2 linked regions of the Cricetulus griseus genome follow. The protein of the gene in region 1 interacts with the protein of each later gene in a pairwise test. Links are inferred from orthologs where the notes say so. Each region holds a gene or a part of one and is shown on either strand. Other genes may lie near its edges. The genes, in order: melanoma inhibitory activity protein 2 and Ttc23l.

Region 1 (6,764 bases):
CCTCATCCTTTAATGGATAAATAAATGTGGTGCATTTACACAATGGAGTGTCACTCGGCTGCTCAAAAAAAAAAAAAAAAATCTGAAATTTTTAGGTAAATAAATGAAATTAGAAAAAAAAAATCATCCAGAGTGAGGTATCACAGACCCCAGAAAAACAAACATGATATATACCCACTTATAAGTGGGTATTAGTTATTAAGAATAAGATAATCATGCTACAATCCAGAGAGGCTAAGAGACAAGGAGAGTGGAGGGGAGGATATGCATATATCTCCCTAGGAAGAGGAAATACAATAGTGAGTGAGTGGACTGGGGGCAGATGGGAGTGGAAACAGGAGGGATCAGTTGAGGGTGGAGGATAGGGAGTGAGAGTACTGGGAGAGATGAGTGGAATGTGGGGGGCGTATTTCAGGGATGAGATAGAAACCTATTGCAATAAAAACTCCCAGCAATCTACAAGGGTGACCCCAGCTAAGACTGGTATTAGGGGATCCACACTCTGAACCTGCCATATTCTATAACCAGGTGAGGCTTCCAGTAGAGAGACTGAGAGACCAACTCATTAACAAAACCTTCAACTTACAAGTAGTCATGGCTGCAAAAATATGGTGGGGTAAAAGTGGCTTATAACTTGTGGGAGTGACCAACTGTGATGGTTTTAAAGAAAATGGTTCCCAAAGGGAGTGGCACTACTAGGAGATATTGCCTTGTTGGAGGAAGTGTCACTGTGGGGGAGGGGAGAGAGGGAGAACTAGGGTTTATATGTAAAATGAAAAAAAAATTAATGTTTATGGGTCTATGTAAATATATGATATGACCTAAATACATGAATCTATATTCAAAAAGATATTGGAAAGCCAGAAGGGACCATCACCTGGAGCGATGTAAACATTACCTCCTAACAGATGCTTTCCATTGTTTCAACCAATGTCTACCTTTCTGCAAGGATTATACATTGCTTTTCTTTATTTTTAAAAATTAGGCAGAGAAGATTACACATATAACCTATAATTACACACTCTTACTGGTCAACAGTAATGCCCAATTTAATTTCTTGAGCTTTAACCTGTCCCATTATCACTTCAAGTAGCCTAAGTATAAAGGTAACTAAATGTGTTACTGTTTCAGGCTCTTGTCTTGATGCTAAGAACAAACTATGACTGAGCCAGAAACTGGGTCACTAGGATTCACAGACAAGGAAACCTAAATTTTGTATGTGATTATTACGGGCCTGAATTAGCACTTAAATTATACATTTGATTTCTTCAATTGCAAATCTTAGGTCAGATATGGAACAATTATGCATGTTTGTATGCACAATAAAATTCATAGCATACTGGAAGTATAAATTGCTAACAGAAAGTAAGATCCTGACCAGGGAGACAAAGAAGAAAAGTGGGTTTAAACAGAGATTTAATGATGTCAAGAATACAAATGTTTCAATATAAAACTTGACTATAGATCGTAACTTCTTTCTTCATAGGAACAATACATAAACTGACAAATTTGCTGAACCAAGTAATAAAATGGAAGGAGTAGAATTTCATGTTGTAAAAATCTAGAATAAGAACAGGGAAAACAGTGAATTCAATGAAAAGCTTTTCTTTCTGTGTAGAGCAGAAATACCTCCTGACCATTGTTCCCAATGATGCTCAGGAAACATTCCAGTTACAATCACACCACTGTGCTTCAGTCCCTTAACACTGAAGAAAAAACCCAACTTAACAGGCTAAACACACTTATAGGAAATTCATTGGTTGGGTCTCACTCTCCATTCCTATCAGTGTGCAAGACCAAGAACAGGAACACTAGTCTGAAGACACTTGAACTCCCTTCCTTAAAAAGAGGGGCCTTGTGATGGTTACACTGTGGCAACTCTCAACACAGCCCACAGAACACAATCAACATCTTACAAGTTAACTATAAAATGTCAGGCTTGGTAGTGCTCTTAATCCCAGCACTCCATGGGCAGAAACAGGAATACTTCCAAATTCAAGGCCAACTTGGTCAACACAGCAAGTTCCAGGACAACCAGGGCTACACACAGAAACCGAGTGTCTAAGAAAGAAACAAACAAAATCAAAAAATAAAGTGAGAGAAAGAGAAATTATGTAAGAAAACCACTCAGTAGGACTGGCAGGATACAGAGGAAAGTGCTCACTGTGTGATCCTGAGAACTTGAGCTGTCTCCAGAACCCAATGTAGAAAGATAATCTTCCAGCTGTCCTCTGATCACCATACATCCTGCACGAGAGTGGGCTTGTGTGTGCCTGCTGTTGTGTGTGCGCTCTCTCTCTCTCTCTCTCTCTCTCTCTCTCTCTCTCTCTCTCTTCCTCTCTCTCCCTCTCTCTCTCACACACACACATTGTTTTTGAACTGTTAAAAGAAAACTAGCCAGTGAAATAAGTTTAAACAATTCTGAAATTCATCATTAGACAACATCCCCACTTTCTTTAAAATTTAATCCATATTTAAATTTTTAAATTTTATTACTTTGAGTCATTCATATCTAACTCTTAAGAAGTAGGATACATATTTTGCAAGATAATTAAATCAGAAAACCCACAATGCATTACCTTTTTCTATAATGTACATATGCAGATGTTTTGTCTACATGCATGCCTGTGCACTACACACGCCTGTGCATTAATCCATTCCTGCTGCACCACATGCATACCTTGCACACTACATGCATCCCTGGTGTTCTGAATGCATGTCTGTGCACTACATGTATGTATATCTTTGCACTACATGCATGCGTGTGTACTACATGCATTCCTAGTACACTTGGAAGCTGAAGAGGCCATTGGATTCTCCAAAGCTGGAACTGCCATGTGGATGCTGGGAACCAAGCCCAGTCCTCTGTTCTGCATGAGCACCCTGACTTAACCACTGAGCCACCATCTCTCCAACCCCAGACACTTCCCTTTTGAACCACTGAATTATTGGTACAGGTAAAAAGACTAAATTATGGAGCCATGCTTATGTGAAACTGGCTGGTTTTATTATTATCAATGCCAAACAAGACTTTAATTGAATTAAAATTTATTTGATTAAACAGTTACCTTTACATTTGTCTACACCATGGTGAACATATTCCTGGTAGAAACACACAGCCTTTTAGGTTTAAGATATCCCCAACTCTAAGATTACATGTATAAAACTACCATAATTATGGATGAGGTAATCAAAGTAAAATATACTATCCAGAATGAAATAAAATGGAAATAATTTACTCATAAAATTCATATTTAAATCTTTATTTACAAAATACTATCCTGAGAATTATAATTCCATTAAGCTTCAATTTGAGCAACAATGTAATCACATAAGTAACAGCAGTTACTTAAAAAGAAAAGGAGAAGAAATGACTCCGAGGAAACTGTCAGGTCTCCTGTGTTTCTGGAGGTTCAGGTGCAGGTTGTTTGGAAGGAGGAATCAAGTCTGGGGGCAGCTCATTTCTACTTTCAGGATGTGGGGGTGGGGGGAAGAACCCAGCTCTTGGGGGAAGGTAAGGTGGAAAGCCCCTCGGTTCGTACACATTTCTCCCTGTTCGAAGAGATGGATAAAGGACAGTGAAACCCCATACTGCACACTTGTTAAACCACTAGCTCCAGCCGCTATTCTGATGTCCAAACACTCACAACACAATATTTAATCTCACAAATAAATCTTGACATTGAAAACTGTACTTCTTAACTACATAGGATTAGTAAGAACATCACCATCAGATTCAGCTGTGTTTGTCCTATCTTGGCAGATACCCTAGATCCCAATACACTCAAGACTTACTGTAAAACAGCTTTTTAACGAAGTAAAATTTTCAACTTCACATTCAGATCAGTGATCCTGACCTGATATCCTACTGAAAACATTTCCTGTAATGTCAAGGATGACCTTAAAACGTCCCAAACAAAACTCATTTCATTCCTCTAGAAGATTAAGAGTAGAGGTGAGGGCAGAGAGCAGACACCTAGGACAAGCTGGTTCTTTCTAGTACTTGAATCATGATTTACTGTGTAGAAACTTGTGATTCTAAAGGGTAAAGTATGCTATAAAGGCAATAAATTACTTTTATTCTAAAATGTAAGGGTATGAAGGAATTTCAATAAATTCAACAAATAACTAAATTTGATCTTAGATTTTAAATATGATCATGTGGGAACTACTATTTATGAAAAATACCTTAAAACACTTTAGTCAGTAATCTTAAGACAAAAATATACGCAATTACTTTAAATAATGGCCGAAATACATTTCTATCAAATGAAATACACATAATTTTAATCTTAAAACTTCTTGTAGCTGTGCATTGGTGGCACACACTTTCAATCCCAGCACTTGGAAAGTAGACAGGTGGATCCCTGTGAGTTCAAGGTTAGCCTGGTCTACAGAGTAATAGTTCCAGGACAGGCTCCAAAGCTATAGACAAACCCTGCCTTGAGGAAAAAAAAACAAAACAAAACAAAAACAAAAAACAAGAAAGAGACCCGTTTGTAATCTTACTGATTTTCCGACCTATCACAATACAGTTAAAATTCAAAACTACCTAAGGTAGATCAAGGTGAAGCCTTGGCCTCCTTTGTTGCTGGACTGTAACCTGTGAGCCATATAAACTCTTTCCTCCTCAAGTTGGTTCTGACCAGTGTTTATCACAGTAACAAGAAAAGCACAGATAAATGTTGACACATACATGGACTTTTTAAAAAAGCCTACCTGGGAATGGCGGGAAGGGCGGGCCAGCAAAGTCCCTTGGTGGAAAATAGTCTGGAGGACCTGCATAGATGTTTCCTGGAGGAGGTGGTGGGAATGGGGGAGGCCCTCTCATAATGGGTCTTCTTGGATCCCCTGCAAAGGGAGGGCCTCTGGGGCCTCTAAACAGGGGAACTGGTGGAGGGATGAAGCCAGGGCCAGCTGTCTCACATTCAGCAGGAGGAGAGTTGGGCACAGTTGAGTTCTGTAAGAGAGTGACAACCAGCAGTCAGTAAAGCTGCTTGATGCCCAGCTCCTTTCCTGGGATTGTGAGGCATAGAAGAAACAGTCCATGACATTACACAAGGCCTGGGAACAGGCTCAGTTTCCACACCTGTGTAGGAGCCCCTTACATGCTCTCTGAAGTATTTTTACTAACTCAGCAATAAACTTTAAGCTTGGTACTACTAATAGTCTACCTGGCTCTCCCTAAAACACTAGTACAGATTCATACAACAAGGACATCTGTTCAATGATGTTCATAGCAGCACTATTTGTAATAGCTAGAAACTGGAAGCAGCCTAGATGCCCCTCAACTGAAGAATGGATAGAGAAAATGTGGTACATTTACACAATGGAGTACTATTCAGCAGGAAAAAATAAACAACGGAATCTTGAAATTTGCAGGAAAATGGATGGAACTAGAAGAAACCATTCTGAGTGAGGTAACCCAATCACAAAAAGACAAACATGGTATATACTCACTCATATGTGGATTTTAGACATAGAGTAAAGGATTACCAGCCTACACTCCACACTGCCAGAGAAGCTAGTAAACAAGGAGGACCCTAAGAAAGACATACAAGGTCCCCTGGAGAAGGGGAAAGGGTCAAGATCACCTGAGTAAACTGAGAGCAAGGGAAGAGGAGGGAGCTAGGAGAATGAGAAGGGAAGAAGAGGAGGGATGCAGAGGACATGAGGGAGCAGAAAAGGTTGAGTCAGGTGAAGATTAGAAGATAACAAGAATGGAGATACCATAATAGAGGAAGACATAATAGAGGTTTACAGAGATAGCAGGCACTAGGGAAATGTCTAGAGATCTATAAGATGACACCAGCTAACAATCTAAGCAACAGGGGAGAGGCTACCTTAAATGCCCTCCCCTGATAATGAGACTGATATGCCACCCGATAGCCCTCATCCAGTAGCTGGTGGAAGTAGAAGCACCACAACTTATCACTGAACTGAACTGGAACCCAGATGCAGAGAAGGAAGAGTGAAGAGCAAAGGGGTCCAGACCAGGCTGGTGAAACAAATGACCTGAACATCGGGGAACTCTTGCTCCCCAGACTAATAGCAGGGATACCAGCATGGGACTGATCCAGACCCCAGGAATATGGGTTTCATTGAGGAAACCTTGGAAATCTACAGGACCTCCTGTAGTAGATCAGTTCTTATCCCTAGCATAGGTGTGAACTTTGGGAGCCCATTCCACATAGAGGAATACTCCCTGAGCCAAGACACACAGGGGTGGGTACATGGGTAGAATTTACTTTCCAATACTTACCCCAGGGTCACCTTTGGTATCATTCTTCCTGGATTCCAATTTTGAGGACCCTGGCCCATCTAGACAAAGAAATTAAACCAGTAAAAATTCATGAATTCTTACTTTATTCCCTGACCGTTTGCAGATCCAAATACACTGACATTTTCCACTCCCCTTGCTTGGACAGGGAACAACTTGACACAAATACACTAACATTCCACATTAGGATCCCCAAAGCAGCCTGAGACCTGTAGAAATTTCAACAGAACAGACATTCTTTTGCAGTGTGCTGGTCACCTTTCCAGCTGGTTCCCAGGCCTTCTTGCTGCAGTAGCCAAAGTGAACGACTCAGGATGTAGCATCCACTTCCTGTCTTTTCTGTGTGCTCTCTTTTCCCTCAGCACATAATACATACTTTCATGAAAGTACCCTTATAGATAACTCAACAAATACATAGTGAAAGTAAAATTTTGGAATTTTATTTATTCTCCATGTTATTTACTTTAATAGGTATAATAGATAC
Region 2 (7,303 bases), on another chromosome or scaffold:
CCGGACATGGCATAAGCTTTAGCTAGTAGAGCACTCGCCTCAGCAGTTTGGGGGCTGATTTCAGAAAATGAAGAAACACAAATAGAATAGGCCTGGGGGAAAAAAAAAAGAAAAACATGACAATATCAGTACTCAGTGACAGTCTAGAAACTCATGACAACATCAGTACCTAGTGACAGTGACAGTCTAGAAACCCACGACAACATCAGTACCCAGTGACCATCTTTTGCTGCATTTTTCAGCAGCTGTCAGAATTGCTAGCTGACTGGGAGCCAACTCAGCTAAACACAGAATTACATGGGAGTGGAGCCTGAGTTCCATCGCAGCCACTTCCTTTTGTGGGTCTTGAACAAATAATTTCACCTTCTTATGCAGGATGGAATGTATGGGTCTTACGGATTAGGGCTCAGAAAAGATTAAAGGAGTCGCCATATGCAAACACTGGGCACTATCCATCATCTGGTCAGTTCTAACTAAATCTTAGCTTCATTACTTCCACTGGGTCTCACAGCAGACTGTAACTACAACATTAGCCCAGAATCTCAAGAATTCACTATCAAAGAATCATAAAACATGGGTCCAAGAGATCCAGTACTGCTTAGCCACTTACCATGATAGAGAATGGTCCCTTATCTTCTTCAAATATAGGATAAAAAGATGATAAAAATAGAATTTGTTACAAATAGTTGCTGTAAATGTTAAATAGGTCAACATGTGTGAAGTGTTTTATAGTATCACCTGGCATTCAGTAACCATTAAAGAAGTGTAAGATAATAATTAGTTGTATTATTAATATTATTTGTATTTTAATGGGAAGTATGTCACTTAAGAAGAAAGAAGAGTGAAAACAGCTGACTTGTAGCTACCAGCAAGGAAAGAAGCACCCATGCATGACAGTTCACCAGCCAACCCTTAACTATCTCAAGAAGCTAAAGGGATTATCATCACCCACCCACTATGAAGCCAAGACAGTGCAAAGTGTGCACACTGTTCCATTAACTATAAGCTACTGGGTTAGATTTCCTGAGTTCAAATCTCTGCTTTGCAACCTATCAGCCAAGCAACTTCAGCTGAATCAGCCATAAATCTCTGTGAAATGAAATACATACTCAAGTGCACACAATAATAAATGTTAACTCTGATTTTTTGGTTTTGTTATAAACATTGATATAAACATTACTACTTTCTTCATTCTAATTTGATCAATTTTTGTTTATTTGGTTGGTTTTGGGGTTTTCAAGGCAGGGATTCTCTGTATAGCCCTGGCTGCCCTGAAACTCACTTTGTAGACCGGACTGTCCTCAAACTCAGAGATCTACCTGCCTCTGCCTCCAGAAAGCTAGGATAAACGGTGTGTGCCACCACTGCCTGGCTTGTCCACAGTTTTAAGAGAGCCTTGAATTCAAAACTCATGCCTTCCTCTGCAGGCAGTGACTCTGGCACAAAAGCAGATCCCCTAATGCTTCTCTCCATTGCCTGGTGTTTATAAACTTGGGTTGTCAAATTGTTTCCCACACCTGTTCTTAGCTCTATGGCTTTTGACATAAGTAGCTGTGCTACTACTTTCCCCATGTATGAAATCCCGTATGTCAGTATAATCTGTTGTGAAAGCAGATTTCTGACAGCACTGCAACATTTTATTCAGAAGAAAGGTGAATTTAACTAACAGTTTAAGTACATTTTAAAGGGAAGTGCCTAAAATGGTTTTTATATCAGAGGCTCAATATTTGTTCCTTTGTTTTAGCTTGCCACAAGTATTTGTCAATTAGTTACCTCTAAGTGAGATACACTTTTATTTGTTTAACCATAGATTTGGAAATAAAACCAGCTGCAGTGAACTGACAGGACATCTGATATAACAAAATGTCATGGCTTTTCAAATAAGAAACCTGCCTTAGGGTTTCTATTGCTGTGAAGAAACACCATAACCATGGCAGCTTTTATTTTATTTTATTTTATTTTCAGTTTCTTTTTTTCCTCCATTTTTTAATTTGATTAGAAACAAGATTGTTTTACATGGCAATCTCAGTTCCCTCTCCCTCACCTCCTCCCCTGCCCCCACAACTAACACCTACCTACCCCATACCCTTTCTGCTCTCCAGGAAAGGTGAGACTTTCCATAGGGGGTCTTCAGAGTCTGTCATATACTTTGGGATAGGGCCTAGGCCCACTCCTGTGTGTCTAGGCTCAGGGAGTATCCCTCTATGTTGAATGGGCTCCCAAAATCCAATGACAGCTTTTATAAAGGAAAACATTTCATTGGTGCTGACTTACAGTTTAGTTCATTGCTGTCATGGCAGGAAGCCTGGTGGCATGCAGGAAGACACGGTGTTGGGGAAGGAACTGAGAATTCTACATCTGATCCATAGGAGACAGGAAATGAACTATCACACTGTGTATGGCTTGAGTATATATAGGATCTCAAAGCCTGACTCTACAGTAACACATTTCCTCCAACAAAGCTACACCTACTCCAACAAGACCACACCTCCTAATAGTGCCACTCTTTATAGGCCAAGAATTAAAAATCATTTTTTATAACTACTGTTACTTGTTTGTATATGCAGACAAATAGTATTATTACTATTATTACTTGCTTGTGTACAGACAACATGTCTAGGCGAGAGAGCTACTATGTGGAATCTACTGTTCCTTCCACTTTCACTTGGGTTCCTGGGATCAAACTTTGGTTACCAGGTGTTTGCCTAGCAAACACCTTTGAACTGTCTCACCAGTCTTCCCTTTTTGTGTTCTTTAAGTCAAGTTCAGCTGCCCTAATGTGTTTTATGTCTTGGGGTCGACTCAAGCTTGGTTTCTTCCCAGCATTGACAGAGATGAGAGGCCTAGGAGGGGATGTGCTACTTCCTGGTCAGGTCACAGAACATATATGTTCACTAGAGTTACGGGCCTCTGGTTATGTTTTTAAGTTTGAGGCTCTTGTTTGGGGTTGGAGTAAGTCAAGGTTAACATGTGTGGTACTTTGAATGCAATTGGCCCCAATAATCTTATAAGGAGTGGCACTATTAGGAGGTGTGGCTTTGTTGGAGTGGGTATGCCTTGTTGGAAGAAGTGTATCACTTTGGGGGTGGGCTTTGAGGAATAGTGCCCTGTGAGTCAGTCAACTTCCTGTTTTCTTCAAGATGTAGGACTCTCAGCTATTCCTCCAGCACCCCACCTGCCTGCATGCTGCCATGCCCCCCCCCCCCGACACCCCCCATGATGATAATAGACTGAACCTCTGAAACTTAAACCAGTACCCTCAATTGTTTTCCTTATAACAGTTGCCATGGTCATGGTGTCTGTTTACACCAATAAAACCCTAGTTAATAACATGAAACCTAGAGGGATACTCTCTCAGCCTAGACACACAGGAGAGGGTCTAGGCCCTGCTCCAAATGACTTTGAAGATTCCCCCATGGAAGGCCTCACCCTCCCTGGGGAGCAGAAAGGGGATGGGATAGGGGGTTAGCGTGGGGCAGGGGAGGAGGCATGAGGGAGAGGGAACTGGGATTGGCATGTAAAAGAAGCTTGTTTCTAATTTAAATTTAAAAAAGGACAAAGAAAAAGTTAACATGGAACCAATTCTGCCCCTTAGGATGTTAGGGTTAAAGTAAGGAACCAATCCTTAACTCCTGGTTATGAGAATCAACTGGGCCTGGAGCCAAACAAGATCACCTTGCCAAAGAACCAACCTGCTGCAAATACTGGATGGCTTGCTCATGGTTCCTCCTCAGCTGCTCAATCTGAGCGATTTCTTCATATAGGCTAATCAGCTCTGATGTGCCATAACCCTTGGCCATGATGACACTACCAATTGCCTTTTCAAAGTATGCCAGAGCTAGGTTCATCCTGTGCATGGCTAAGGAAGCTCTACAAGACAAAGAAAGAAGGTGGAAAGTCACACAGAGGCCACTTCCTTTGCAGACACATAAGGAATTAATTCCAAGAAGAATTTGTCTTCATAGACAAATCATCTGGACAGCTGGCTCAAAATCCAAGATTGCTTTAAACAAACCCCCATTATTCTGAATTTTGCCCACAAGATCCCACAGACTACCACCATTAGCTTAACACGTTAATATGTTTTACTCTTCTGTAATTTTCATAAAAATACAAACGGAAAAATGTCACCCAGAAAGTCATAAGACGGGGGATGATTTACTCAGAAGCACAGATGTGGGTCTTGTAATATCAGTAAAGGTGGGATAAGCACCAGCCCTAAGGACTCAGCAAAAAGCTTGTGATTGACATGCTTACATGAGTAAGTAACTCAGGTGATTGGTCGATATGATTGGAACTCATAGCTGGTAGAACTAGCAGTCCTGTACATGGGAGGCTGCCACTATGGAATTAGAAGCTGTACATAAGCATGCCATGCACCTCTTCTGGCTCACAAGCAGACACATTTTCATGCTATTTCAGGTCAGTATGGGGGCTTCTCAGTAGGACAATATCCTGTGCATTGTCCTACAGAGCATTCTCCAGAACTGTCATTTGTTGACCTCCTATCAGCAAAAAAAAAAAAAAAAAGTGTCTGAAGAGTTCCAGAGAGCACAGCTAGGGTTTGGAACTGGAGAGCTAAGACTGTAGGAGGCAAGAGGCTCTGAAAGCTGGTATTGCAAGACTCTCAAGTGAAGATCTAAAGAGCTATCAATGATTAAAAGGTGAGGGTCCTGACTCCGGAGATGACATACCATTTACTGTAGGGTGACAGGACTCAACGCCCAGAGAAAAATGCCTCTGCCTGAGCACCAGGAGCTACAAATTTCTGGCTTCTAAAATCATAAAGCTCTAGGTGTTAGGTGTTGTGAGCCCCCAAAACTCTTGGCTAAATATGATGGCCCACAACTTTATGTCCAGCACTCATGAGACAGAAGCAGGATGATTCCTATAAATTTAAGGACAGCCTGGGCAACAGCATTGAGTTTGACTCAATAAAAAAGAACTCAGGGCTGCCTATTTGTGACTCGCACCTGAAGAGAGCAAAAGGCCTGTCAGCTGGCTATTCTAACAGACTTATCTTGTCCTCAAGATGAGTGTGAATGATCAAGGGCACTGACAGGTTATCTAATCGTTCTTTGAAGCGATAATCTCTTCTATCAACCACACAAATGTTCTCTTGACCAAATGTATTTCTCTTATTCTTCAGACATTAAGGATGGCTCCCATCAAGAGCTTTAAGGGAGATTTTAGCAAGTTGTTTAACCTGAACAATCTTGTCTTAGTGTCTCTGCCCTTCAATGGAAAAAAGGCATTACTAGATATTTGTCTTTACTAGATATTTGATATATATCAACTATAACAGCATGGTACAGAAGATAAGCTATGAATTCAGATGTTTCAATGATAAGCCAAGTTCTTCAACTAATTCTGTCACCTTCAGTTAATCTTCCTGGGCCATTTTTTTTTAAGATAGTTTGTCTGTGTAACTAGTCCTAGCTATCCTAGAACTTGCTTTGTAGACCAGGCTGGCCTCCAACTCACAGAGATCCACCTGCCTCTGCCTCTCAAGTGCTGGGATTAAAGGTATGCACCACAACTGCCCAGTGCCTTATTTTCTTATCTGTCAAATAAAAATATTAAGAATGCCTACCCTCATAGGTTACAGCAAGGCCTGAAAGAAATAAAACTTCAAAGCACTCAAACACTGTGTGGTATGTATTATACAGAGTAAGCATTCTAACACTTAGTACACACACAAAACAGATACTGGTGTGAATGAGTAAAATAAACACTAGAATTGAGAAAAGACAACGTGGTTTTTGTTTCACATAAGGCAGATAACCTTTAAGTAGTGCCCTCTGTGACAGCAGGAGACATTCACCAGACTCTAACTATGGCCCTATGGATTTGAGTCAATAGTCTGACTTTGCTCTGAACATTCCAACATGTCCCCACCATGTCCCATTTGACTTCTAGATTCATGGCTGTTTAGAGCAGGCAGATGTGACGCATGTGTTTCATTTACTTAGCATTCAGTCATCTGCCCTACTGTGCCAAGTGCTTATAGCTTTTGGAAAGAGATTTCTTTCAAGGATGTGAAGATATTTGAAAAATCTGGGGAACAGTAAACTTTCATTATTTCTTTTTCCTGATAATCTGATTGGCCCACTCCCCTTTCTAAATTCTCCATTCTCGGGGGATTCTTAACTCATCTCAAAACAGTTTTAAGTCTTGTTCTGGCTTAAACAAATCCCATGGACTCTGTTTCTACACAGAACAGAGCTTTCCTTAACAGTGCATGTCTGTCCATAGCTCCGATAGTCTCCGATTTGCCTTCTTGAGTGTTCTCTCCTTCTCTGTTACTTCTCTGTCATGCTTGATGACAAAAGTAACAGGCAAGTCAGAAAAAGAAATCAATTCCAAAGTCAATGAAAGGCAGTTACAATAATGAAGGGCAAAGAGATGAGTTTAGATCACATATCCAATACGTACAAGCTATGTCACTTTAGAGCATTGGTTCCCAGCCTTCCTAATGCTGCCACTTTTCAACGCAGTTCCTCATGTCCTGGTGGCCCCAAGCCATAAGGTTATTTTGTTGTTACTTCATAACTTTAATTTTGCTACTGTTATGAATCATAATGTAAATATCTGTCATGCAGGATGTCTGATTTGAGACTCCAAGGGGTCTGGACTCATAGGTGAGAACCACTGCCTGAGAACAAGTGCTTAACCTCAGCTCAATCTCCTGGCTCTCTGAGGAAACCATAACATAACTGAGCACCTCAGTGGTGGCTGTGAGGATTAAGTGTGGCAGTGCATAGTGAACTCACAGGACCCATGTTTGAAAAACATGGCCTCTTGTATTATCAGCTGAGCTCTGGGCTTTTTGCTCTGAGCATCCCCCCCACATCCCTTTTTTGATTTTTTTGAGACAGCATTTCTCTGTGTAGCTTTGGAGTCTGTCCTGGCACTCTCTGTGTAGACCAGGCTAGCCTTGAACTCACAGAGATCCATCTGCCTCTGTTTCCTGAGTGCTGGGATTAAAGGAGCACATTTCCCCCCTTTTATCAGATCAGAGAAGAGAAAAAAACCCAGACCTCATTCACAAAAGCTTCTGCTTCTTTATGGCCAGATCTTACCTGCCCAGAGCAATGGTTAGGTCTTTATCTGAGACTTGGCTTCCACCAATGTCTCCTTTGTTTAACTCTTTCAGTTCCTTCATGTTTTTTTCCGCTTTCTTCAGGTGGAAATAGGCCTGTTTGCCAGTGGGGCAGTCAAGGCACACTAACTGTCACTCTATAGGGACAGCAGTCTATAAGCTAAGCAAAGGGGCCTTTGGGAAAACAAAGAATTGTTTGAA

The links.
Region 2: the proteins of melanoma inhibitory activity protein 2 (region 1) and Ttc23l interact in binary tests that used the Homo sapiens proteins (3 or more experiments, as listed by UniProt). The two-hybrid records come from large-scale screens. The link is inferred for Cricetulus griseus from reciprocal best matches to the Homo sapiens genes MIA2 and TTC23L.

What each region holds. Positions count from the first base shown.
Region 1 is NC_048598.1:143,367,809-143,374,572, forward strand, and holds the end of melanoma inhibitory activity protein 2, read right to left. Parts: intron 6,322-6,764; coding exon 6,263-6,321; intron 4,961-6,262; coding exon 4,720-4,960; intron 3,553-4,719; coding exon 3,389-3,552; 3' UTR 2,986-3,388; downstream 1-2,985. UniProt on the Homo sapiens protein: Plays a role in the transport of cargos that are too large to fit into COPII-coated vesicles and require specific mechanisms to be incorporated into membrane-bound carriers and exported from the endoplasmic reticulum.
Region 2 is NC_048595.1:343,792,458-343,799,760, forward strand, and holds part of Ttc23l (tetratricopeptide repeat protein 23-like), read right to left. Parts: intron 7,209-7,303; coding exon 7,083-7,208; intron 3,871-7,082; coding exon 3,693-3,870; intron 93-3,692; coding exon 1-92.